Linked DNA regions of Ovis aries. The protein of the gene in region 2 interacts with the protein of the main gene of each other region in a pairwise test. Links are inferred from orthologs where the notes say so. Each region holds a gene or a part of one and is shown on either strand. Other genes may lie near its edges.

Region 1 (3,500 bases), on a different chromosome or scaffold from region 2:
CTCCTTCATCTGGTGCTGGTTGCTGTGAGGGCCACTGGCATGGCCTCGCCAAAAGCAGTTTTGGCAGAGCTGGTAGTTGTGGCACTGCTGGCACCGGTACCGGAAACCCATCATGCTCTCGCAGCGGCAATAGGAGCACTCCACAGGGTGGAAGACTTGAGGGCGGGGAGGAGAGGGCCAGAGAGAGAGAGAAGTCACTGTCATTTGGAGAAGAAGGCCAGTGCAGTGGAAGACCAAAATAAAAGCCAAGGTGGAGACACGACTAGCACTGAAGAACTGCAACTGTCTTCTATTTAGTTCATCTAACCAGCCAGTCCATCCTAAATCAGTCCTGGGTGTTCCCTGGAAGGACTGATGTTGAAGCTGAAACTCTAATATTTTGGCCACCTGATGCGGAGAGCTGACTCATTGGAAAAGACCCTGATGCTGGGGAAGATTGAAGGCAGGAGGAGAAGGGGACAACAGAGGATGATATGGCTGGATGGCATCACTGACTCAATGGACATGAGTTTGGGTAAACTCCGGGAGTTGATGATGGACAGGGAGGCCTGGTGTGCTGCGGTTCATGGGGTGGCAAAGAGTTGGACAGGGCTGAGTTACTGAACTGAACTGAACCAGCCATTTACTGAAATAAAAAGACAATACCAAAAGGTCCCATTGAGAATCAATTACAATTCACCTTAGAAACCAATTTCCTTCTTTAAAACATCATTCATGTCTCAAAGTTTGCATACATGTATAAGTAAGGAGGAGAGACACCTTCACTCCAAATTTCTCTTCCAATCCTATCTCTTTTAAAGAGATGTATATTGTTGGCTGTGGACACGTCTCCTTCACTAACATAAAATCTGTGAGGGTCAGGACGACATGCTATATGTCTCTATTACCTGCAAAGTGGTATTTCACACAGTCCCTTGGACTGATGGTCTTGAAATGTTTGCTGAATTAAATACTATTACATACTGGGGAGCAAATGGGAACTGGTGAAAAAAAAAAAAGTAAGGCAAGCCACATCAAAATACTAGTTTTAATAGATAGCCAATGGGAATTTGCTGTATGACTCAGAGAACTCAAACCGGGGCTCTGTAACAACCTAGAGGGGTGGGGATGGGGAGGTAGCTGGGAGGGAGGCTCTTCAGGGAGGGGACATATGTACACCTATGGCTGATTCATGTTGAGGTTTGGCCGAAACCAACACAATTCTGTAAAGCAATCGTCCTTCAATTAAAAAAAAATTTTTTCTTAATTTTTTAAAAAAGTACTAGTTTTAGGTAAGAGCTCTAAGTACTAACATAAAATAAATTACTCTAATCTAACCAAGGAAGGGGCAGTGATTTGGAGGAAGGGAAACTCAGTGACCTGCCACTCTTTTCTCCACCTCACACAGCATCTTACCTGGTGGAAAACCACCAGCTGGCAGTTAGGATTTATAATGGTTACTGGGGCCTGAAAGTCCAGTTCATTGAGTGGAAAGTGGGCAATAAATGCACAACTGTGTATCACAGATTGTTATTTATACTTTTAAATGTTGAAAGCAACATTGTTCCCTTTGCCAATTCAGTTCTGAACACAAGAAGTCTAAGTCAAAGGAAAGAGGGGTGTAATAGCCAAATCATCATTTGAATAGCTCTTTATGGCCCTACGGATACAAAGGCAATCTTATTTCAATTATAAGGACTTCTAGTCCTGCTTCTAACAATGTAGGTTAACTAGAGAATCAAGACTCAAAACAAACAAGGACAAAACCTGAGCACTTGGTGAAAAAAATAATGCAACAAGATCACTAAAGAATAACAGAAAGAGTAAAATCTGGAATGAGAAATTGAAAGTTTAAACTTCCTCTAAGAAATTTAAATTTTTGTCACCAAGATATTTCTAAAGAGTAATCAAAGTGTTAATCACATAAGAATGTAATCAATAATGTAATCAATGTGACTACGTAGAAAGTCACAACAAAATGTTCACATGGATAATGATAATACATCTCAACAAATGAGATTCCCTCTACTTGGCAGAGTAGGCCTAAAATGATTTTATGAAAATGAGCTGGATATGAAACTACTAAAACATTTAGGACTATAAAAGTATTGCTCCCCCAAGGAAGCAATATTGTTATAATTTAATAGCACAAATCTCTTTCCAAAAATATTGTTTAAAATTTAACTGTTTTAGTCTACTCAAGAAATTTCAGAACTTTTGGAAAATAATCTTGCATCTAAGGACTTGTGAACTAAAGTCATAATTGGGCAAAAGGCTGAGAAATTAAAAAAAAAAAAAAGATATGAAAAGGAGCCAGAAGATATAAGAGTATGGTTGTGTTCTCTCATTCTTATAAAATGAAGACGAGGACTCTAATTTTTAGTGCCTGTCACCTTTCACTCTTTCTCTTCTGTGGAATAAGGAGAGACAGGCAAGAGCCATGAGCGAAGGGAAGGTCCAGGGAAAACCAGGGCCTTTCCTTTAATGAACTGAAACAACCTAAACAAGGAGATAAGCTGATAACAATACTAGAAAAACCTAAGAAGTTACTCAGAGGTAAATACCATTTCAGTTCCAAGTGAAACAAAGATTCCCAGCTAGCATTAGCAGTAAAGAACCCGCCTCCCAAAGCAGGAGATGCCAGAGACACAGGTTTGATCCCTGGGTCAGGAAGAAACCCATTCCAGTATTCTTGCCTGGAGAATTCCATGGACAGTGGAGCCTGGCAGGCTACACAGTCCATGGGGTCACAAGAACTGGACACCACTAAAGCGACTTGGCATGCATGCACTTAGGGAGAATACTGAGAGAAATGCAGTAGTAAAGGAAAAAACCGTACTGGTGAAACCAAGTACCAAATTCTATCTTAGCTACTTTCCTTTAAACTATTCCAAAACAATTATAATTTTAATGGTGGATATTTAATACATTCAATTTTTTGGAGCTAAGCTTTTTATACACTACAGGGGGAAAAAAGGAAGTCATGGCTAAGTTGGGTGGGATCAAGCAGAAAACAATCATCTGGAATTTAGGGGGAAAAGCCTAGAGTTTGAAACACAAAGTTTTCTGACCTGATATTACTACATTGGTATCCTAAGTAATAAGTCCTCTTTCCTCTTTTTTTTTTTTTTGAGAAATAAATATTCTTCTTTGAAAGCCGAAACTACAAATTCAAATGATGGAGTGCCAACAAATGTCAATTACAGTTTTCAGTGACAATAGCTAAGAACATTACAAATATTACCAGTTCACATACTTCCTGTAGCACAGGGGACTGAATGATGAAAGTTCTGCTTACCATTCTCCACGTGGGCAAGCCTATGCATGAGAGGTAGCCAGACAAGGCACTGGGGAGGAGGATCGGCCATCATTGTGTCTAAAAACATATTTAGCATTATCTTTTTCTGTGAAGAGAAAAAAAAAAACATTTTTCAAGTTACCTCTGAACTCTAATGTTAAGCTAACTTAGGATTCTCACAACCAAGGTGTAATGAATTACATGGGAAATTTTATAGCAAAAT
Region 2 (3,939 bases):
CACAGAAAGGTAGACAAAAGAATGAAAAGATCCTTTTGCATTAGAGATAGCATCTAGCACTTCCTGGATAATCGAACTTCAGTGAGACAGAATCCAGAATTTTGACCTACTGTTTTATTTCAGACTGCTATGAGCAGTATATCTAATGACTGCTTTTTGAAAAAGAAAATGGTTATCTAATCTAAATATTATGAAAAAATGGACAATCTCTTTTTTCTTGATGACAAGTAATGGAATGAAATTCATTTACTTAAAGAAGCAACAGAGTACACTTACAAAATTCTTTATTTTTCTAATTTTGATAATATGTCTCTATTAGAACATGAAAAGAAAACTGCATCAAAGAGCTGTAAGAAGAAAAAAAAAGCCTTTGGAAGACAGCAATCTACTCTACAAAAACACTTTTAAAGAGAATAAAAGCAGGTTCCATGAACTTCCCTCTATTTTCCACAAGGTTTTCTAATATTTCTTCTTCGATGGAACCAATGAATAACTGCCACTTATCACAAAACATCTTCTTTCAGATATGTGCTTTATAAATTGCTTTCTTCTGAACAGACAATTCTTCAAGTTGCTCAAGTCTCTCAGCTGCAACAATTTTTCTTATTTCTATTATACTGCATTTCTTCCATGGAATGGTATAAAGACCAATTTTAAAAACTCCTTTGCTTTTCAAAGATAGCTTCCTAAAGGCACTACTACTGTATTTCAATCAATATTTTAACTTACTTTTTCTCTATTTCATCTAATTCCACAAGCTTTACTCACTTCAATAGTTCTTAATGCTGTAGTTTAATAGTTTGTCAGGAGCCTCATATAGTATTTTCTTCTATAGTACACTAACAGAAGATAATGAACAGGTTTTTCTAATCAATTAATACTTGCTTGAGGCAGTCTATATGTTCCTTTTATTAACAGTAACACAGACATAAATGTGTCCTGTCTTTTCAACTTTTGCAGAAATTCTGTAGTCCTTGAAAAGGTAACTCACTGATTTTTGGGTCTTAGCTTTTTTGTCTTTATGTCTATAAAAGATCAAAACATATCTTTTTCCTTATTGTGACATTTAAGTTTTACAGATGTTTAAACATTTAGTGTAAATCAGATTTTCTAATAAACTCTAAACAAACTAGCTTCTGAAAAGAACTAGAATTAAAACAATTGCAAATTCTGAGGGTAGATTAGGTGAGAACCCTAAAGGAAAAAAATACAAAAGCCTTATTCTTTTAAATATTCTTGAAAGACATTACAGTTCACTTGATAGATATTCTAAAACTACTAAAGCTGTTGAAATTTTATAATCACCAAATAGATTGATCCTTTCAGTACCCTCACCACCTACTAAGTATTGTGGTACTTGAAAACAAGCCAAGAAATCAAACTGTTAAGTGTTTATTACAAGTAGTTTCTTACAAAACACTGAGAATATAGAAAAACAGAATGTTCCGGTACATATTTTTTGTCCTTTATGAGCCCAAATTTCCCCCTACTTAAAATCTGAGCTGAATTTCAGGATCCCTGCACCATGCCTTAAAACCACAAAGTGTAGACACCATTTTAAAATCGGTGCTTGGGTATGTGTGCATGCATGTGCCTGCTGAATCGCTCAGGTGTGCTGGACTCTATGCGACCCCATGGACTCTGGCCTGCCCAGGCTTCTTTGTTCATGGGATTTCCCAGGCAAGAATACTGGAGTGGTTTGCCATTTCCTACTCCAGGGGATCTTCCTGACTCAGGGATGGGACCCAGGTCTCTTACAGGTTCTGTCCTCTGCCTGAAAACAACTTCCTCAGCTTTAAACATTCTTATATGTAACTTACATGTAACATCTGTGTAAGTCGCACTGTAGTACATTCCCCCCCTTTGTAATTTAATTAAATCGATTTTTAAACCTGAGGAAGTTGTTTTCAGGCACAGGGCAGAACCTGTACCCTAAAAGCAACAGGTCTACGGATTTAGGACACCAATCACATCAGTTAAGGTAACATCTGTTAACTGGGTATATTTTCACTTTCGTAAGGTGAAAATTTCATAGTTTATGTAAAATATCGAGTCCTGTAATAAACAAGCTCTTTAAGAATTGCTATAGAGTTCCTGTGGCACGTCAAGGCGAAGAATACCGCTATACCACTCTAAGTCAAGGTTGGACTTGAGTCGAGGAGCAGGGTGGGCAATTCATGAGTCACACCAGAAAGTATGTCATCTTGCACAGATGGGTAGAAAATTTTAACAAGAGGTTTCGAATTCTATGACAAATGCATTAAGAAAATTCTACTGCGGAGAAAATTTTCACCTTACCCATGGAATCAAAATTCACATAAATTCTGACTGGAGGCTGGTGATCAGCACAACTTCGTGGAATAACCTAATTTTTTCACTTAAGACACAATCCCAAAGCTTTAGGATACCGCCTATGCATATGGCACCAAGCACCACCTTTTCAAGCTCTCGCCGGCACGGGAAATGGGTTGGACACCCCAACCTCTCACCCTACCCCCACAGGAAGTGAGTTATGTTCCCCCCTCCCCCAGGATGGCCTTCCTCCCCTCCCCCAACAGGAAGTGAGGCGCCCCCATTCAGTCGGCCTCAAACTGAGGCCAACCAGTAACAGCAAAAGAGGGGTGATCTTCAAGGGGTGAAGGGTACCTCCACTGTGGCCACCCCCAAGCTCGCCTCGCTTACTGACCTGCTGATGATAGGGGTAGACAGGGGCCCGAGGCCTAAAGAAAGTCCCTGGCACACAGGACAATTCCCTGAGCCCCTCTCAACCGCCTTCACTCTTCTCACTCCGTCGTCTCACAGCTTGACAAAAATTCCTCCGCAGTACTTTATATTGATGCCTTTTCTTTCCCTTTACTTAATTTCTTAACTGCCTTCCATAGGTAACTTCTTTAATCGCTGCATTTAAAATTTTTCCAGTGAGGAGAAAAATGAAACATTTTTCCCCATACCTTCAGAAAAATGAAGGGATTATTTTGTTCAAAGGCGGCGAAGGACTGACTACGTGATTACGTAAGGTGAGACTTATTTTCGCCTAGGTTTCTGGGAGATGTAGTTTTTTAAAATTAAGGCCTGCAGAAATATTGGGCTTAAATTGGTGATTACTGTGTGCTGGAGTCCTTGAAGATACATATTCTGTATTCGACGGTAGGCTGACCTAGGGGGCTGAGGCACCAAATGAGGCAGTACCTCGTTCGCCTTTTCCGCTTAAGCGTAATTGAACTGAAATTTCCCTTCACGCCGGCCGAAGGTCCTGGTTGTCCCGCCCTCTTCCTTTGGCCACGCCCCCTCGGCCAATCAGACGTGCTCTAGGTCTCTCCCGGGAGGTAGGAACGCGAGAGGTGGGGCCTCATGGTGACTCCTCCCGCGGGGCTGAGGAGAGGGCCCGTGCGCGCGCGCGCGCGTGTTCGCTCCAGGAGCGCGGCGGCGAGTGCGCGCGCGGAGAGGCGGCGCGCGAGGCTAGGAGGAGGCGGGCTGGCTGGTGGGCCGGGCGGGCGGCGGGCGGCCGGGAGCGCGCGGTGGACTCGGCGGCGGCGAGTAGTTAGTTAGTTGTTGTTAGTCAGTGTCAGTTGCTCGGCGGCGGCGCTGGCGGTCACCAGGAAGGGTACGGGACGGTCGGCGAAGGTGGTCACCGCGGCGGCGTGTGAGCCCCTCAGGTAACGGGGGCAGGGTTGTCCGCGTCCCCTTCGATCCCTTCTGTCCTCTCGCGCCGGCTTGTGGGACTAGAGTCGCCGACGGGTAAGGGGGATGACCTGGGGGAATCCGGGCGGGGCGGCGCAGGGTCTGGGTGGCGCCGCCGCGGGGGCTTAGGCGGCTTGTGCCTCTGGCCCGGCGCGGGCTCTCCGGCCACGGCCACCCCCGCGCCCCGCCGTCCCCGGGGCCCGCCGGCGCCTCGCGCCCCCTGTCGCCCCCGCTCCCGCCCCCTCCCTCGGTGGCTGC
Region 3 (3,500 bases), on a different chromosome or scaffold from region 2:
AAGGTACAACATCAGACTTCTTACGTAAAATAATGAGTACTATTTTCTTTTACTGTTACTTACATGAAAAAGTTTTTCTGTCTTTGGAAAAACTGCAACAATGTCATATAGCCGGACTCTTGAAGAAGTTGCTCTCTAGTAAGATGAAAAGAATGTTACCGTACAGTAACAACACAACAACAATGCATATGGGATTCTGACTAGCGTCCTGGCTGCACTTCTATTTCAACTTGTAATACTTATGCCACTGACATTTTTGTTTTGCTTTGTATGTTGACAGAAAAGACCTTCTCAGCATGTAAGACTCTAGTTATCAACATCCATCTCCCCAATCATCTCTCCTTCCTTCCCACATTGTCATGCTTTACCTGTATATCAAACATTTTGTTTGAGACACAAAAATCAAATTAGACAGCTCCTGCTCTTATAAGCTAGCGGAGGAGCTTGCCAGAAACTTACTGAGCACCTGCTATGTGTAGGGCACGAGGGATACAAAATCATTTAAGGCATATATCTGCTTTCAGTGGAGCTTATCATTTTTTGGTGAGATGAGAAACACACATGACTGACTATGATGTGATTAGGTTCACAATGAGAATACGGTTAAATACAAATTAAACTGCTAGATGTGTAAGAAAATAACCAAGAGTCCTCTGACAGAAGGAGAGAGATTTATCAGTTAAAGTTTATAAAAGAAAGTCTCAAACTGATACTGTATGCGTATGCATGTGAAAAGGCTGAAAAAATACATGTTCAAGTATACAGTCACTGAATGATGAGATAATATGTGCTGTTTTTTCTTTCCCTTTGGCACCTTTAAAATTTTTTACCTCTTATTCTGTAAAAAGAAAAAGCATGATAAACATTAAAGGAGGAAACAGAACGGTTGAAGAGATGCAGCAGGTACTGTGCTTGAGCAGCTAAGTGAACCCACTGGGCAGATGCATGCCAAGACAGGGCAGGTTCCAGGTCTCAGAAAAAGTCAGGATCCAGTACTCTCTTCCTCTGTCTGACACTCCCACTTGGGACAGGGACTGAAAGGGGCCACCAGGATGTCCATGGTAATAAGAGAAAAATCAAAGTCTGTGGCCATAAAAAGTCAACTCTATGTCTCCCCAGGCTTAGAGAACCAGAATGCAGCCTGCAGGTATAAAAAACTCCCAAATTTGGTTTTTCATAATTTCTTTAGCAATGCTAATTGTTAGAAAGGAGGCCAGCCCTTCCTTGATCACTCCTTTTCTGTGAGAGAGGAGGCCATCCCAGCTAATGATGAAACAGCTCAGGTTCTCAGAGATCTCACTTTCTCCCTCACTGACTCTTCACATCAGTACCGGCTACTTGCAAGTCTCCACTTAAGAAACAGAATCTAGACAGCAGGTTCTCACCAGCCTCCCAAGCCTTCTATTCCTCCATGGAGTGAAGTTTCTTAAGCAAAGTTAGCAGCAGACACTGGCTATATTTTCTCATAGCCCAATCACTTCCATGGAAATGGCTTTTTGTAAGGCAACCAATGACCACCATGTCATTAGGGAACCTGCCTGGCCAAGACATGTTTTAGCCCTTCTCCTGCTTGGCTGAGTACTCAGGCACACTGATGCTGCTCACCCTTCTCATGCTCCTCATTGTCCACCTACTCCTCAGACGGCCCGTCTCAGTCTCCCATCCTGGCTCACCCTCTCCTCCACCACCGAATACAGCTATTCCTTAGGATGCTGTCCCAGACCTTCTCCTCCCACATTATACTTTGACCGGGGAGTCTCATCCATTCTCATGAGTACAATACTCTCTACAAGGCGACCACTTCCAAATGAGTATCTTGAACTGGGGTCCCTCTTCCGAGGGCCATGTCCTTTTTCCCAACTACTCATCTGACAAGCTCCACTTGAACTCCTGCGGCTTCCCTGGTGGCTCAGTTGGTAAACAGTCTGCCTGCAGTGCAGGAGACCTGGGTTTGATCCCTGGGTTGGAAAGATCCCCTGGAGAAGGAAATAGCAACCCACTTCAGTATTCTTGCGTGGAGAATTCCATGGACAGAGGAGCCTGGTGGGCTACAGTCCATGGGGTCACAAAGAGCTGGACACGATTGTGGCTGTCTTCTCACTGGAACTCTTACAATAACCTACTGTGTCTCACACATGATGATCTGACACCTATTTCTCTTTGTATGTTTCATCCCAGGAAATGGGACCATCTACCTATCTGGCTGCTCAGGCCAAAGCAGGGAGTTACCACCTTCGATCCAATCAACATCAAATCCTGTCAATCCTCCCCTCCCCTGCCTTTATCCCCTTTGATCCATTCTCTATAATGCAAATCTCAAAACTGTACTCCCTTAGTTAAAACCTTCATAGGCTTCTTCTAATTGCTCACCCAGACCTACCTTTCTAACATCATCCTAGGTTAGACAGGTCATCAGGCTCAACTCAACTGGCATTTCATTTCCCACCATGCACCATGTTTTTTTGGGATTCAGGACCTTGCATAATTTATCCTGTCTGTGGGACTATCCTCTCCCTATCTGGCACCAACAACATTCACTGATTCATATGGCCACAGTTTGAACATCAGCTTCCTCAGCTTGGCCTCCTGTTACACACTCCTAGAACATTCCTTATTTACTATCTCCCACTTTTTAAATGTTCTTCTCATTTTCCAAAGGACTATATCTGTATTATTCATAGCAACATCACCAGTACTCTATGTCTGGGTCATGTAAGTTCAATGAATACCAGTTGCTGGAAGACTCTTTAAATCTTTAATCCTTATACATGTGTCATGAATAGAAGAGACTATTATACCATGTGAATTCTGAGCTAAGGAGAGCAGTCAAGTGTCATACACTGGGGGTTGGGGAAGATCTAAGAATGAGGTGAGTTGAAAAGCAAGAGTTCAACATTAATCAATACAACTTACAAGACCAAGAGAGAAGAAAAGTAACTTACCAAAACATTACAGTGAGACGGATCCGAAACGATAATTGTTAGTCTAGTTAAAATTTTAATTGGTTTTGATTTTCCCTGTAATGAAAAAAGCACAAAATACAGATGACTGATTTTCCTCCTTAGCAGTGGAAAGTACTCATTAAAAAGTACTAACAATAAGGGATAGTGAAGATCAGTAAAGCCCTAGCCTTAACTCTCAAGGAATTTATAATAGAGGCATACTTTATTGTTTTGCTTTGTTGTGCTTCACTGATATTGCCTTTTTTTTTTTTTTTACAAACTAAAGATTGGTGGCAACCTTGTATTGAGCGAGTCTATTATAATGCGTCATTTTCCAACAGCATTTGCTCACTCACATCTCTGTGTCACATTTTCGTTATTCTCCCAACATTTCACATTTTTTCATTACTATCATATTTGTTATGGGGATCTGTGATTACTGATTTTGCCTAAGTCCTAATCACTAGCCTGCCAGGGAATTCCCTGATCTCTGATGATACTATTGTAATTTAGAGTAAAAAATCACACACATGTAAGACATTGAACTTGATCAGCTCT
Region 4 (4,137 bases), on a different chromosome or scaffold from region 2:
CTCCTTCTGACAGACTTATTAATAGGGCACCAGGCTGCATGCAGCTGACGCTTGGCATGACTGTGGGAGAAGGTGGGGGAGGGGTCAGAAGTGTGGGGAGCTGTGTACCTTGCAGAGAAGAATTGGCTGGGCTGAGAATGAACAGATCTGAAATCCTGAAACAAGGAACCAGACTCAGGAGAAGCTGGGCTCCCAGCGCCGGCTGTAGTTTATTTGTGAAATGAATGGGGAACGAGGATGTCAGTCCAAGGGGAGATCAGGGGGTTCCTCCTCATCAGAGTCAAACTCAACATTTTCATCTTTTACCCATCGACCTCGTCCATCTGGGATCCATCCAGAGCTGGAAACACCAGAAAATAGAACTGGTCAGGAAAGGAAGTTTATTAAATTAAGAAAAGCATGTGTGCGAGTGCTCTGTCATGTCCAACTCTGTGACCCCATGGACTGTAGCCTGCCAGGCTCCTCTGTCCATGGGATTTCCCAGGCAAGAATACTGGAATGGGTTGCCATTTCCTTCTCCAGTTGGGAATCTTCCCAACTCGGGTCGAACCTGCCTCTTGTGCACTATAGGATTCTTTACTGCTGAGCCTCCTGGGAAGCCCCAATAGTTCTTTCTATCTAACTGTAGTTAATTTCCTGAACTATTTGAAAAAAAAGTTACATATGTAAGGAGTCTTTGTGCATGCATGCACGTGTGCTAAGTTGCTTCAAGAGGAACTGACTCTGTGACCCTATGGAATGTAGCCCGCCAGGATTCTCCAGGTAAGAATACTGGAGTGGGTTGCCATGCCCTCCTCCAGGGGATCTTCCTGATCCAGAAATCGAACCTGCATCTCCTGCATTGGCAGATGTCTTCTTTACCACTGTGCCACCTGGGAAGCCCCGGGGGATAAGTAAAAACACTTGAGAAGCTCTGAAACAAGGAGGGTCAGAGATAAAAGGGAAAAACTGAGGAAAAATTCTGCATACTCACCTTCGAAGGGTGAGGTAATGATCCAGGGCCCGTCTTCTTGTGGGGCTCATAGGTGCGGGGGATGAGACAGTGGCTGACTCCTTGGTCTGTGAGCCAGCCTCAGGCTCAGGTTCTCTACTGATCTTCCCACCTTGGGGTTCAGCCTCTGCGGGTGGCAAAGGGGGACGAGAGACAGAGGGACGAGGGGCTTCCGGTCTGGACAGAGAAGAATCGAAGTCTGTAAAAGCAGTAAAGGAAAGGGCCTAATCTCCTGTGACTCCCAACTCCTTATAGGAGTGCTTCCCAATTTTGTGTTCCTCAAGATATTAGTAAGTGTTCTGCATAAAAAGAATTCTGGAATCCAGTAAATTTAGGAAAGTCTAAATCTTTTAAGGTTTTTTTTTTATCTTATGATTTTGTAGAACCCTTAAAATACACTAATTTTTAATCAAATAGGATTACAAAGCACTTTTTTAGTTACAAAAATCTTTTTCCTGAAATACAAGTTAACACCCCCAGAACACTTAGTATGTCTCAGATTACAATTAGGAAAATAATCACTTTAGAGCTATCTATCTCTTGTCCCTCCCTACCTCTGGCTTTCCCATCCCACTAACCTGTACTTCCGGCGGCAGCAACTGTTATAGTGAGGAGCTCTGTGCAGAGCACTCTGAGTGATAAGTCGAGTCTGGGTTAAGAGAGGAGCCTGGCATGGAGACAGCAGAGTCAGAGCCTTCAGAGCCAGAAATAAGCCAAAGTCCTTTAGCCTAAGGTGTGCAGCACAGTCCTGCCTGGAACACAACTTCCCCTCTCTGATTACCTCTGCTGTGGTCTCTTCTCTCCTGAGTTCATTATGCTGTCTTGGATTCTGCTCTGTGCCCTTTCCTGCTGGCTTCTTGCCATAGAAAAGCTGCAGGCCTGAGGAGAAAGGGGAAGAGGATTAAAAGCAGAGCACCAAGGGTGGTCTGAAGAGATTTTAAGGGTTTACTCTATTGTCTGTCTTTTCCCAAACTTACTGGACAGATGTTTTTTGCCTGCACGGTGGGCAGTCAGCATGGCCAGAGTGTCCAGGACGGGTCGGTGGGGACAGATGGCACAAGCAAAGCTGGGGAGTAAGAAAGATAATTGGTCCCTGGGGAGTGGAGTCTTGGTCATAGGTCCCACCCCGTCCAAGCATTCATTTCCAAAGCCCAACTCCCAAGTCTCCCAGTCTCCATCACCCACATCCCTGTTACTCACTCCCAGCCAAAGAATCCTAGATACTCCCGCTCTCCTCCTTAATAACAAAAGTTCTTGAGTCTCTAACTTCAAAACCCTTAAACTTGATCCACTCCTCGCTCTCACCGTCCATCCCGTAGCATCAGCGCCTCATCCTCTGGGATGTAGCTGGCAAGCAGGTCCCCGACCCTTCGTTTCTGCAGGAGACAGGGGAAGAAGTCCGCACGGGATCAGCTGGATATGAGGGAAGGATAAAAGGGAAATGATAGAGACGAGGACTGAAAGGGAATAAAGACCATGGGAGAACACACATCTGCGGTGAAAAAGGGGTCACCACCACCTCTAGTCTTTTGGTTCCCTCCACTCCGCCCCCCAGTTGTTGCCACAGCAACAAAACAGCTCCTTTACAGCTTTCAGAGGGCAGGTGAAGCTGCTTCGGAAGCACTCCTCTCCGCATACTTTGAGCACATTGAGCTGACTCCAATCGTCTCCTTCCCTCTTGAAAGACATCAAGACTGTGAGCCCCAGAAATCAAAAACTCTATCCAGCCGCCTTCGCCACGCCTTTCAGGCCACCGTAGCAGGAGTGGGTCGTCTCCGTTCCTTCCGGTCTCTTTCCTGCTGGCCCCCTGACTTCCGGGGGTGTGCTTCCACGAATGCACTGCGCGATCCCGGAAGCCAGCTTCTAGCCGGCCGAGGGGGACTGTATTTCTTATGGTGCCCTGCGACCTCACCGGCGCGGGGCCTTTTGGGAAATGAAGTCTTTTTTCAAAGAGCTTGCCGCCGGGCTGGATCCAGGCCCTTTCGTCTTGGCAGATTCGAGGCGTTTGGAATGACAAGAACCTAGATGAGGAGCCCGAATTTGAGGGTGTGACTGATTTGGTTTGGAGAATACCTTTGAGGATCTCTGACGGAGAAAGAGTGCTACAGACTCTGGCTATTGTCACGCCCTTCGCCTGCAACCACAGCCCATATAGGGTGGGCCTGATCTGTTCCTGACCCTAGAGGGCTAACCCCGGGACCGGGCGGAGTCGGGGTATTGGGGAGCCTGGAGGTCGGGCTGCCAGACGTAGGGGCAAATTGAGCTGCGTGTTAAGGAGGCTGCTAGAGTTCAAAGGTCAGGGGTCAACGTAGCGAGTTGTTGTGGGGAGTCGAAAGTCGGAGGGGTGCTAAGGAAAGACTCAGGTAGGGACTGAATAGTCGGAGTACAGATTTGTGGGAAGGGGACTTGCAGGGAGGAGAAGCTACGGCTGACAAGTCGCGTATCGCCGGGGGAGGCGGGGAGACTTAAGAGAGAAGACTGAAAGAGAGGAATCCTCTAAGATACCCATTCTCGGACCGCGAGCCCGTCATTATCGGTCACTTGGCCGGGCCTCCCGGGGTTGTAACCTCAGTGTCCGCAGGGTGAGGAGATGGCTTCTCCCTCTAGACAGGCCCCCCTCGGGGGGTCAGGACTGCTTCAAGGGAGCCGGGCTCGTTCTTATGGAAGCCTGGTGCAGTCTGCCTGCTCCCCGGTGAGGGAAAGACGCCTGGAGCATCAGTTGGCGCCCGGAGACACCCTGGCTGGACTAGCACTCAAATACGGGGTGACGGTGAGTCTTCCAGGATTGGGACGTAGACACCCAATTAGAAGAGGTTTATTCCTCATGAGAATGTATGGCCCTCTAGGCAACTTCCCCTGAAATTTTCTTAATTGTGTTTATATTAACTAATTGTGATAAATTGACTGTGATAAAGGTTTGGTCACCTTTATCTTTTTGTTTCCTCATCTCAGTGTTGCACTGTCTGGTGGGAACAAATCCTGTCCCATTATCCCAACGGAGGGGAGCAGCATTTATTTTTTAGGCCAGTCACTGTACTAAAGACTTTACATCCATTAGCTCATTTGATCCTCACATCCCTATCAAGCATATAATTATTGTGCCCTTTTTACAGATGAAGAAACTGAGACTTAGATTGGTTAACCAG
Region 5 (4,014 bases), on a different chromosome or scaffold from region 2:
GGGCGGTGCTCAGGCTTCTCTTGTTGCGGGCTCTAGAGCACACAGACTGCAGTAGCTCGGGTAGGTGGGCTCAGTAGTCACAGCTCCTGGCTTTAGAGCACAGGCTCAGTAGTTGTGGCACAGAGCTCTGTGGCATGAGGGATCTTCTCTGACCAGGGATCAAACTTGTGTCTCCTGCATTGGCAGGGGGATTCTTCACTGCTGAGACACCAGGGAAGCCAGAAAACCCTTTGTTTTCATTTTCTGTCCTGTATGCTTCAAAAGGGCTTCCTTGGTGGCTCAGTGATTAAAGAGTCCACCAGCAATGCACGAAACCCAGGAGATGTGGATCCGATCCTGGAGCTGCAAAACTCTGGAGGAGGACATGGCACCCCACTCCCGTATTCTTGCCTGGAGAATCCCATGACAGAGGAGCCTGGCGGGCTACAGTCCATGGGGTCACAAAGAGTCGGACATGACTGAAGCGATGTAGCGTGCATGCAGGGTCAGTCTTCTGTGCAGGCATTAGGGGAAAACTCCATGGAGAGCACACGTTTGCATGCCTTCAGTTGCCTGGGACTTTACTATGCACACTGGATACATCCTCTTGGTGCTAATTCCAGATCCACACAGTGCTCCCAACCACAGGGTTTCTCAGAGGCCAAACAAGAAGGGATTCCTTTAAAGTTTCTGGATGCCTGTTCTAAGGATAAAATCAGAATGCAGTGCCTGAAAGAGGAAAGAAATGCTCAGAACACAGGGCGTGTGCTGCAGTCAGGGTGACAGTTTGGCTGGGAGTTGATGAGGGTGATGAGTAGAAGGTTTTCAGCCTCCAGTCTTGTACAAACCCTGCTGGGCACTCGATGAGGGCCTCATTCCTGTTCATTTTATGTGGCCGTTTTCTCCACGTTTCCGATTCTGGAGGTCAGGATAGACCTTGCAGTGCGAGGCGGCCGGTCCTGACTCCACTGGAGCACCCAACCTTCCTCGTGGTACACAGACTAAGGGTCCCCCTCCCCTCCGGGGTCCCCCTCCCTGCGGGGGTCCTACACACACTGGGGACAGCTCATCACCGTGATGGCTGGAGTCAGGCCTCTCGGGCCACTGGTGGGGGACACTCGGGGGACAGTCCTCCAACCTGCTGGGTGGCCGTGGGAGGTGGGGAGCCCTCCCCTGCACCCTGTCCACCCCATCTCCAGCCCAGCCTCTGTCTTGCAGGTGTCCCCGCGGCCGCCATGGGCAAGCAAAACAGCAAGCTGCGACCGGAAGTGCTGCAGGACCTGCGGGAGAACACGGAGTTCACGGACCATGAGCTGCAGGAGTGGTACAAGGGCTTCCTCAAGGACTGCCCCACCGGCCACCTGACCGTGGACGAGTTCAAGAAGATCTATGCCAACTTCTTCCCCTACGGCGACGCTTCCAAGTTCGCTGAGCACGTCTTCCGCACCTTTGACACCAATGGCGACGGCACCATCGACTTCAGGGAGTTCATCATCGCACTGAGCGTGACCTCGCGGGGCAAGCTGGAGCAGAAGCTCAAGTGGGCCTTCAGCATGTATGACCTCGACGGCAACGGCTACATCAGCCGCAGCGAGATGTTGGAGATCGTGCAGGTGCGCCCGGGGGGCGGGGCTGGCACCGGGGGCGGGGCCTCAGCAGACCGCGTTCACTCGGGGACCCCATGCGCGACTCCTCGGCCCGCCTCTGGACCTTCGGGGCCACGTGGCTGCCTGCCCCTCTATCCTGCCCTTCAGAAAATGACTGACTGTCACCTGACCAGCGGGCCCTTAGATGGTGATGAGACAAGCCACTGTTGGGCCTCCCAGATGGTGGCAGCGGCGGTTTAGTCGCTAAGTCCTGTCTGACCCTTGCGACGCCATGGACTGTGTAGCCTGCAGGCTCCTCTGTCCATAGCATTCTCGAGGCAAGAATACTGGAGTGGGTTGTCATTTCTTTCTCCAGGGGGGATCTTCCCAACCCAGGAATTGAACCCGGGTCTCCCGTATTACAGGCAGATTCTTTACCGCCTGAGCTATGGTGGAGCTAGTGGTAAAGAACGCACCTGCCAATGCAGGAGAAGGACCATTGTTTACCTATCATTGGTGGTACAAAGCCCTGGCCTACACGCCCCTGATGAGCTGTGGTCTTCCCAGTTCTAAGGGGAGGGGGTGTCATTCTCAGCCTTTCACAAACTCTGAGACTAGGTATGGTTGGGGTGGTGGTGGTGCGGGGGTATGATTTCCTGAGAGTTACCAGTTATTGTTCAGTTGCTGAGTTATGTCCAACTCTTTGAAACCCTGTGGATGGCAGTATGCCAGGCTTCCCTGTCCTTCACTACCTCTCAAGAGTTTGCTCTAACTCATGCCCATTGAGTCAGTGATGCCATCCAACCATCTCGTCCTCTGTCATCCCCTTCACTTCCTGCCCTCAATCTTTCCCAGCATCAGGGTCTTTTCCAATGAGTCAAAGGTGGCGGAGTAACGGAGCTGGGAATTAAAAAGAGAGGACCCTTGACACTTGCGAAAGGCACTGCCATATTCCCCTATTTAAGAATGCAATAGACAGCTTGTCATGTCCTCAGGAACACACAGTTGTAAAGCCAGACTGAGACATTGGTGGTGACGGAATAGGCTCTGGCCCAGGAAGCGCCACTTCAGAAAGCTCTTCTCTCCTGTCAATGACTCTGGCAAGGGAAGCTGTTTTCTGGCAAGAAACCAAGTTTTGTTCACTTCCCCAGGTTCCCAGGTGCCTCTGCTCCCTGGGTCCCCACCCCCTGCTCCCCCACTCCTGGAGCCTGGGAACTCAGTTCTAGAATTCCTCAGAGGAGGTGTTCTCTAGTCCACACAGTAGAAACTTCTGGACTAAACTACACACAGAGGGTATCAAACTCAGGAGCTCCTTGATCAGCAGCAAGTAGCCTGACCCGTTTCCCAAACAGGTGATTTGCACGCATGAGAATAAACCAGCACAGGTTCAAGGGAAACTGTCCTTCAGCCATTGATCCTGGCTCTTAGCGACAAGCAGTAGTGGAAAGAAGAGATCTGCTTCTGGGGAATCACCTGTCCCGACCTACCTCCTGGCCCTCACCCTCCTCTGTCACTGGCCAAGCAGACTGGCTGGGCCAAAGCTTACAGACACGGCAGAGCTGTGAGAGCCGAAAGGGGTGCCTTCCTGTCCAGATGGGATCTGGCTGCTAGGCCCCCAGACCGAGTTCCTAAACCCTAAGCACCTTCCCCCTTTGTCGGCAGATGCTAAGCAGGATGCCTGGCTGCTACACCTTCATCAAAACAGACTGGGCTCCAAGTTCATCACAGCCCAGCAGAGACAGGGAGGGTCTTGGCTCTGCATTCTCCGCACTCGGACGAGTGCCTGGCTCTGTCCCAGGAGGGAGGCCTGTCCCAGGAGGGAGGCCTGTCCCAGGAGGGGGGCCTGTCCCAGGAAGCGGGCCTGTCCCAGGAGGCAGGGCTGTCCCAGGAGGCCCTGAAAGACACACTTGCTGTGCGGTGAGGCCTTATCACCCCTGCCTGCAGGTGGAGAGGGGCCAAGGAGTACAGAGTATAATAGATACAAGAAGCCTCACCTGGGGTCATTCTTTCTGGTTTGGTTTTGTAAACCTGCTTTTTAAGACATTACAGCTTCCAGGTTTCTGCTGTTCTTGGTCTGTTTGTGGAATGAGAGTATCAGTCAGTCAAGCCATTTCCACATAGAATCCCAAGTAGCACAGCCCCCTCACTCTCACATGTTACTCTGATGAGCTGCTGGTCACCGGCTTCATCATGGCCCCCTGGACACACACACACACACACACACACACACACACTGATGCACATATACACACGCACACACCACTACGCCTGGACTCTTGGACAGAGACGGCCTGCATGGTGCCGAGCCCTCGGATGGCAGCATCCTGAAGAGAAGGTTCTCGGTCCTGCTGGAGAGACCCATGGGCCCCGGGCCTGTCCTTTCTGGGGCTGGTGGTGTGGTTTCCCCTGGGAGTTGCAGAGGCTAGCTTTTCTTGCTTCTCACCGAGGT
Region 6 (4,033 bases), on a different chromosome or scaffold from region 2:
CTGCCACCAGCCGCAGCACCTGAGCCCTCAGCTCCTCCAGCTCCGTCTCCGTGAGGCTCAGGCCTCGGTGCTTGCTAACCGACAGGGAGCCTGCGTTGCCGCCTTTCTGCCCTGGATCATCCTCTTCTTCCATCTCTTCTTCCTCCTCCTCCTCCTCTTCCTCCTCGTAGAGAGCTGGGAGTAACACTTCCCCTAGGAGAGACCCCCGCAACATCCCGCCAGCGAGTAAGAGCCAACTTTCTTACACAGTCCTTAGAGGGCCCTCCACCTCACTGTCCTTAGAGGACAGAGATGGTATAATAGTGCCACCTGGTGTCCCCCAAGGAGCCTCTGGGCAGCACCTGCATGCCTGAGGGGCCCTGAGGTGTGAGAGTCAAGTTTGGAGGTATCCATCCCCCTCCCAGGCACTTCCTGGACCAATATTGCCTCTGGGGCCTCCAAGGACTGCCTTCAGGTGGACTGAACAGCCAGGGACTGGCTTGCACAAGGATACCTTGCTTCTTCTATCCTTGTCTCTGGGCACAAGTAGTCAAGAAAGGATTCAGACACTGGGTGTGTCTTTAAGCCAAACAGGGCAAGAATTACAGTTTGGGGGTTTGTACAAAGTTTACAAACGATCCAGGTGGCTTGTGAGAAACTAGCCTTTCCATTATATGAAAGTGTTGCCTGTCAGTAGGCAGAGAAAGAGAACATCTGAATGAAATGATCTAAAGGATTTACTGGACAAACACTGGGGCCCTTCCAAACATATTCCATTGAATAGACTTTTTGAAATTTTCTACCAAGTCCACTTTTCTTTTCCCTGCTGAGTGTCTGGGGGTCTCACTTCCTCCCCTGCTGACCACAAGGCAGTTTTTAGGGGAAAGTCATAGGTTGTACTTGTGTGTAAAAGAAAGCCTGCCATTTTAATGAGTTAAGAAACTGGGGTGTGTTGGTCCCCAGTCTCTGGCTGGCAAGCACCCCCTCCTTTACTGCAATGCAGTTTCTCTAAATAGCAAAACCTTATCTGGATGGCAATTGTTTTAAAATTCTGAGTCTCTGGCCTGGTTTTGTCCAGTAACCACAGCCTAAGATTCATCTGGGACCCCTGGCATCATCTGTCTCCCCGGGGTCAGTGGAGGTGGGGGGGGAAGGGGCAAGATTGACCACACTAGATGTGCACAGGGACCTGGGGACCCTTCACGGGAAGTCCTGGCAACAGGACTGGCACCCTTCTAGCATCCTCCTGGTGTTGGCAACAACTGCCAAGTCGCATGGGTGTTGTGGGAATACACATGTGTTGGGAGGTTGGCCTTTTCAGCAGCCCCCTTCCCAGGCTCCCTCTTTCAGGCAGTAAGATAGCCTAGAGAACCAAAGCCACCAGGCTTCCATTTGAAGTCAGTGGTGGCAGCACCAGAAAGACAGTTCACGTGCTCACTTCCCTGCTTTTCAAAATAAGAGACAGCTTGGGATCTGGGTCGGGAGGCAGAGAGAACAAACCCCCTGCTGAAAGGCTGCTTCAAAGCTCTGTCCAAAGAGGCCTCTTTCTCTGTCTGGCAGCTCCCTCGGGACACACAACCTGGTTAGCTGGTGATTAGAACCCCAAAAGGATGTACCTTGAACTTCCCTCAAAACCTGAGCCCTGAGGAGGGCTAGCGGGTGCTGAGCTGAACTAGGGGGAAGGTGTGTGTCCTGGCTCAGAGTTCTGGAGGGTCAGAGGGAGGAAGGAAAATTGGGTGAGGGAGAAGGAAAGAAAGCTTTACAGGAAAACTCACCCTCCATAGCTTGCATCCCCCGCCGTTCCAAAGACCCCCAGCGTTGGCCCTTCTTCCTCTCACAACCCTCCGACACCTCATAGGAGCCTAAAGTGGTCACTGTGGGTCCTGTGAGCAAGGAGAGAGAGGGATTGTGGGGTGCCAGGGTGGCTGGGGTGAGGCAGGGAGGGGAAGGGACACACCTTCTAGCCCTTCGGAGCCCTGGGGGTTTTTATCCCGGTGGAAGTACTTGGCTCACTCTGCCAGGCACTGCGACTCCTCTCCCCAAGCTGCCCCTTAGGCTGGGCCTCTGGGGACCCCGCCCTGCCCTGCCCATCCTCCTCTGCAACCTCTGTTCCAGGCTCCTCTCCCTCGCACAGGTAGAAAGGGTGTGTGTCTCTTTAGCCCAGAGGGGACAGAGGGGGAAGATGGACAAGGATGGCAGAGGGTGGGAGCAAGTAAAGAGGCTGAAAGGGTGAGGTAGTGCGCCTAAGGGGAAGGTGGGGAGGGGGCCGGCGATGGCTGGCGGGGGTCGTGTGGACCGGACCCCCTCCCCTCCCCTCCATCTCTCCCTAGACTTCGTCCACCCCACCCGCGCCCCGCGCTCAGAAGCTTTAGGGGTGCGAGCGGGTGCAGGATCTATAGAGCCCCTAGGGCTGGAAGCAGTATGAGGCTGGAGAGTCGAGATTGAGAAGGCTCAGGGCAGGGAATGCCAAGGAGGATGCGGCCGGTGTGGGGAAGACCCAGCCGGGAAAGATGGAGACCGGGCCCGGGTGGGGGGCGGGAGGGAGGGAGGAGGAAGACTTCGGCCGTCAAGGTGGGGAGTAGCGGAGGGGGGAGAGGCCGTGGGGGTCTGGGGGGAGGAGAGATGGAGAAGAGGAAGGAGAGGCAGTGGAGAGGTGAAGGAGGGGCGCTCTGACCTGGGCCCGGGCAGCTCCAGCCCGAGGCGCCCGCGCCGGCCCCGGCGCCCGCCTCCATGGCCGCTCTCGCCACCGCCGCTGCCGCTGCCGCCGCCGCCGCCGCCGCCGCCGCCGCCGCCGCCGCGAGGCCGGGTACCGGAGCCGGGTGCGCAGGGGAGGGAGGGCGGGCCGGCCGAGGGGGCGGGGCCTGGCCGGGCCACCTGACACCGCCCCCGCCGCCGCCCGCCCGGAAGCCGGTCGGCCGCCGCAGCTCCCGAGTTCCCCGAGGCCGAGCGAGCGGGAGATGGGAGGAGACCCGCGCGGAGAGTGCGAGCAGCCAGGAGTCGGCTGCGCGAGGAGACCCCCTCTGCTCCGTGTGCCAGGATCCCGTCTAGCTCGGTGATGAGGCAGGAAAACCAAAAGGATGGACGGATCCTCCCGGCTTGTTTCCTGCAAACACGCGGATGCTTTTCCACTCCCCTGGCTCCCTATGGCGCAGGGCGCGCCCCCCAGCTCTGCAGTCGGCGCGGACCCCGGCCACCCGCCCCAGAACTGCGTGAGGGCAGGAGCGGGGAAACTGAGGCCAGGATACGTGAACTCGGGGCCCTGATCCCTCTGTTGTCCGTGCGTGCGCCCCTCACCAAGCCAGAAGCAGGGACCCTCTTAGGAGGGGCGGCTCCGTGGCCCTACACTGTCCTTAGTGTCCGAAGGCCGCCTTTCTCCACCGCTTGCCTTCCCACGAGCCCTACTCCCGGTGGGCTGCGAGAATGACCCCCACTCATCATGCACGCATAGCCTGTTCAGGGTGGGCACTGCTGATTTACAGTTAAAAATGGGAGATGTGAAACTTACGCGGGCTTATTTCACTTAACTTCATCATTCATTCAAGGAACGTCTACCAGGGGCCAGGTCTTGAAGAAACAATTGTTCTCACATCTCTGAAGGTCTTAGCTAGGAAAAATATGGGTACACTTGAGAACTGGGGCGTCCCAGGACATCCAGAAAAGCACTGGGAGATTCCTAAGCCAGGGACACACACCAATCCTTTCTCTCACCCATCCACTCACAAGGTCTTTGGCATATATTGTCTTTGTCACCGCCACAGGCTCCCAGGTTCACGAGCCCTCCATATTCTTCAGGGGAGAACCTTTCTTCACCTGGACATCCCCTACTTACCCTTCAACACTCAGCAGGGAGTCATCCCTAGGCAGCCCTTCCTGATGCCCCCTCCCACCCCATTATACACACCCTCTCCTCCTTTCTCTCTAGGGCATTGCCAGTCACTCAGGGTTGTCAAGGTCAGATTTTCAATTTTCTGTCTGCCCATTTTCTTGAAGACTGGGAGTTAACATGGTCTTCTGTATATCTCTGCTGTTGCTGCGGCTGCTAAGTCACTTCAGT

Evidence for each region.
Region 1: the proteins of HMG20A (region 2) and DTNB interact in binary tests that used the Homo sapiens proteins (3 or more experiments, as listed by UniProt). The two-hybrid records come from large-scale screens. The link is inferred for Ovis aries from reciprocal best matches to the Homo sapiens genes HMG20A and DTNB.
Region 3: the proteins of HMG20A (region 2) and RPP30 interact in binary tests that used the Homo sapiens proteins (3 or more experiments, as listed by UniProt). The two-hybrid records come from large-scale screens. The link is inferred for Ovis aries from reciprocal best matches to the Homo sapiens genes HMG20A and RPP30.
Region 4: the proteins of HMG20A (region 2) and SCNM1 interact in binary tests that used the Homo sapiens proteins (3 or more experiments, as listed by UniProt). The two-hybrid records come from large-scale screens. The link is inferred for Ovis aries from reciprocal best matches to the Homo sapiens genes HMG20A and SCNM1.
Region 5: the proteins of HMG20A (region 2) and HPCAL1 interact in binary tests that used the Homo sapiens proteins (3 or more experiments, as listed by UniProt). The two-hybrid records come from large-scale screens. The link is inferred for Ovis aries from reciprocal best matches to the Homo sapiens genes HMG20A and HPCAL1.
Region 6: the proteins of HMG20A (region 2) and CCDC136 interact in binary tests that used the Homo sapiens proteins (3 or more experiments, as listed by UniProt). The two-hybrid records come from large-scale screens. The link is inferred for Ovis aries from reciprocal best matches to the Homo sapiens genes HMG20A and CCDC136.

Annotation. Positions count from the first base shown.
Region 1 is NC_056056.1:32,941,721-32,945,220, forward strand, and holds part of DTNB (dystrobrevin beta), read right to left. Parts: intron 3,384-3,500; coding exon 3,278-3,383; intron 156-3,277; coding exon 1-155.
Region 2 is NC_056071.1:30,345,916-30,349,854, reverse strand, and holds the start of HMG20A (high mobility group protein 20A), read right to left. Parts: upstream 2,801-3,939; 5' UTR 2,687-2,800; intron 1-2,686. UniProt on the Homo sapiens protein: Plays a role in neuronal differentiation as chromatin-associated protein. Acts as inhibitor of HMG20B. Overcomes the repressive effects of the neuronal silencer REST and induces the activation of neuronal-specific genes.
Region 3 is NC_056075.1:12,323,017-12,326,516, reverse strand, and holds part of RPP30 (ribonuclease P protein subunit p30), read right to left. Parts: intron 3,018-3,500; coding exon 2,943-3,017; intron 136-2,942; coding exon 64-135; intron 1-63. UniProt on the Homo sapiens protein: Component of ribonuclease P, a ribonucleoprotein complex that generates mature tRNA molecules by cleaving their 5'-ends. Also a component of the MRP ribonuclease complex, which cleaves pre-rRNA sequences.
Region 4 is NC_056054.1:101,063,773-101,067,909, reverse strand, and holds SCNM1 (sodium channel modifier 1), read right to left. Parts: upstream 2,801-4,137; 5' UTR 2,681-2,800; coding exon 2,579-2,680; intron 2,405-2,578; exon of another isoform or gene 2,368-2,404; coding exon 2,297-2,367; intron 2,058-2,296; coding exon 1,969-2,057; intron 1,871-1,968; coding exon 1,773-1,870; intron 1,659-1,772; coding exon 1,570-1,658; intron 1,169-1,569; coding exon 974-1,168; intron 341-973; coding exon 241-340; 3' UTR 186-240; downstream 1-185. Other genes in the region: LYSMD1 (lysM and putative peptidoglycan-binding domain-containing protein 1), read left to right, coding at 3,582-3,761. UniProt on the Homo sapiens protein: As a component of the minor spliceosome, involved in the splicing of U12-type introns in pre-mRNAs. Plays a role in the regulation of primary cilia length and Hedgehog signaling.
Region 5 is NC_056056.1:19,580,104-19,584,117, forward strand, and holds the start of HPCAL1 (hippocalcin-like protein 1), read left to right. Parts: upstream 1-1,214; coding exon 1,215-1,592; intron 1,593-4,014. UniProt on the Homo sapiens protein: May be involved in the calcium-dependent regulation of rhodopsin phosphorylation.
Region 6 is NC_056057.1:94,459,525-94,463,557, reverse strand, and holds the start of CCDC136 (coiled-coil domain-containing protein 136), read right to left. Parts: upstream 2,801-4,033; 5' UTR 2,712-2,800; coding exon 2,654-2,711; intron 1,863-2,653; coding exon 1,755-1,862; intron 193-1,754; coding exon 1-192. UniProt on the Homo sapiens protein: May play a role in acrosome formation in spermatogenesis and in fertilization.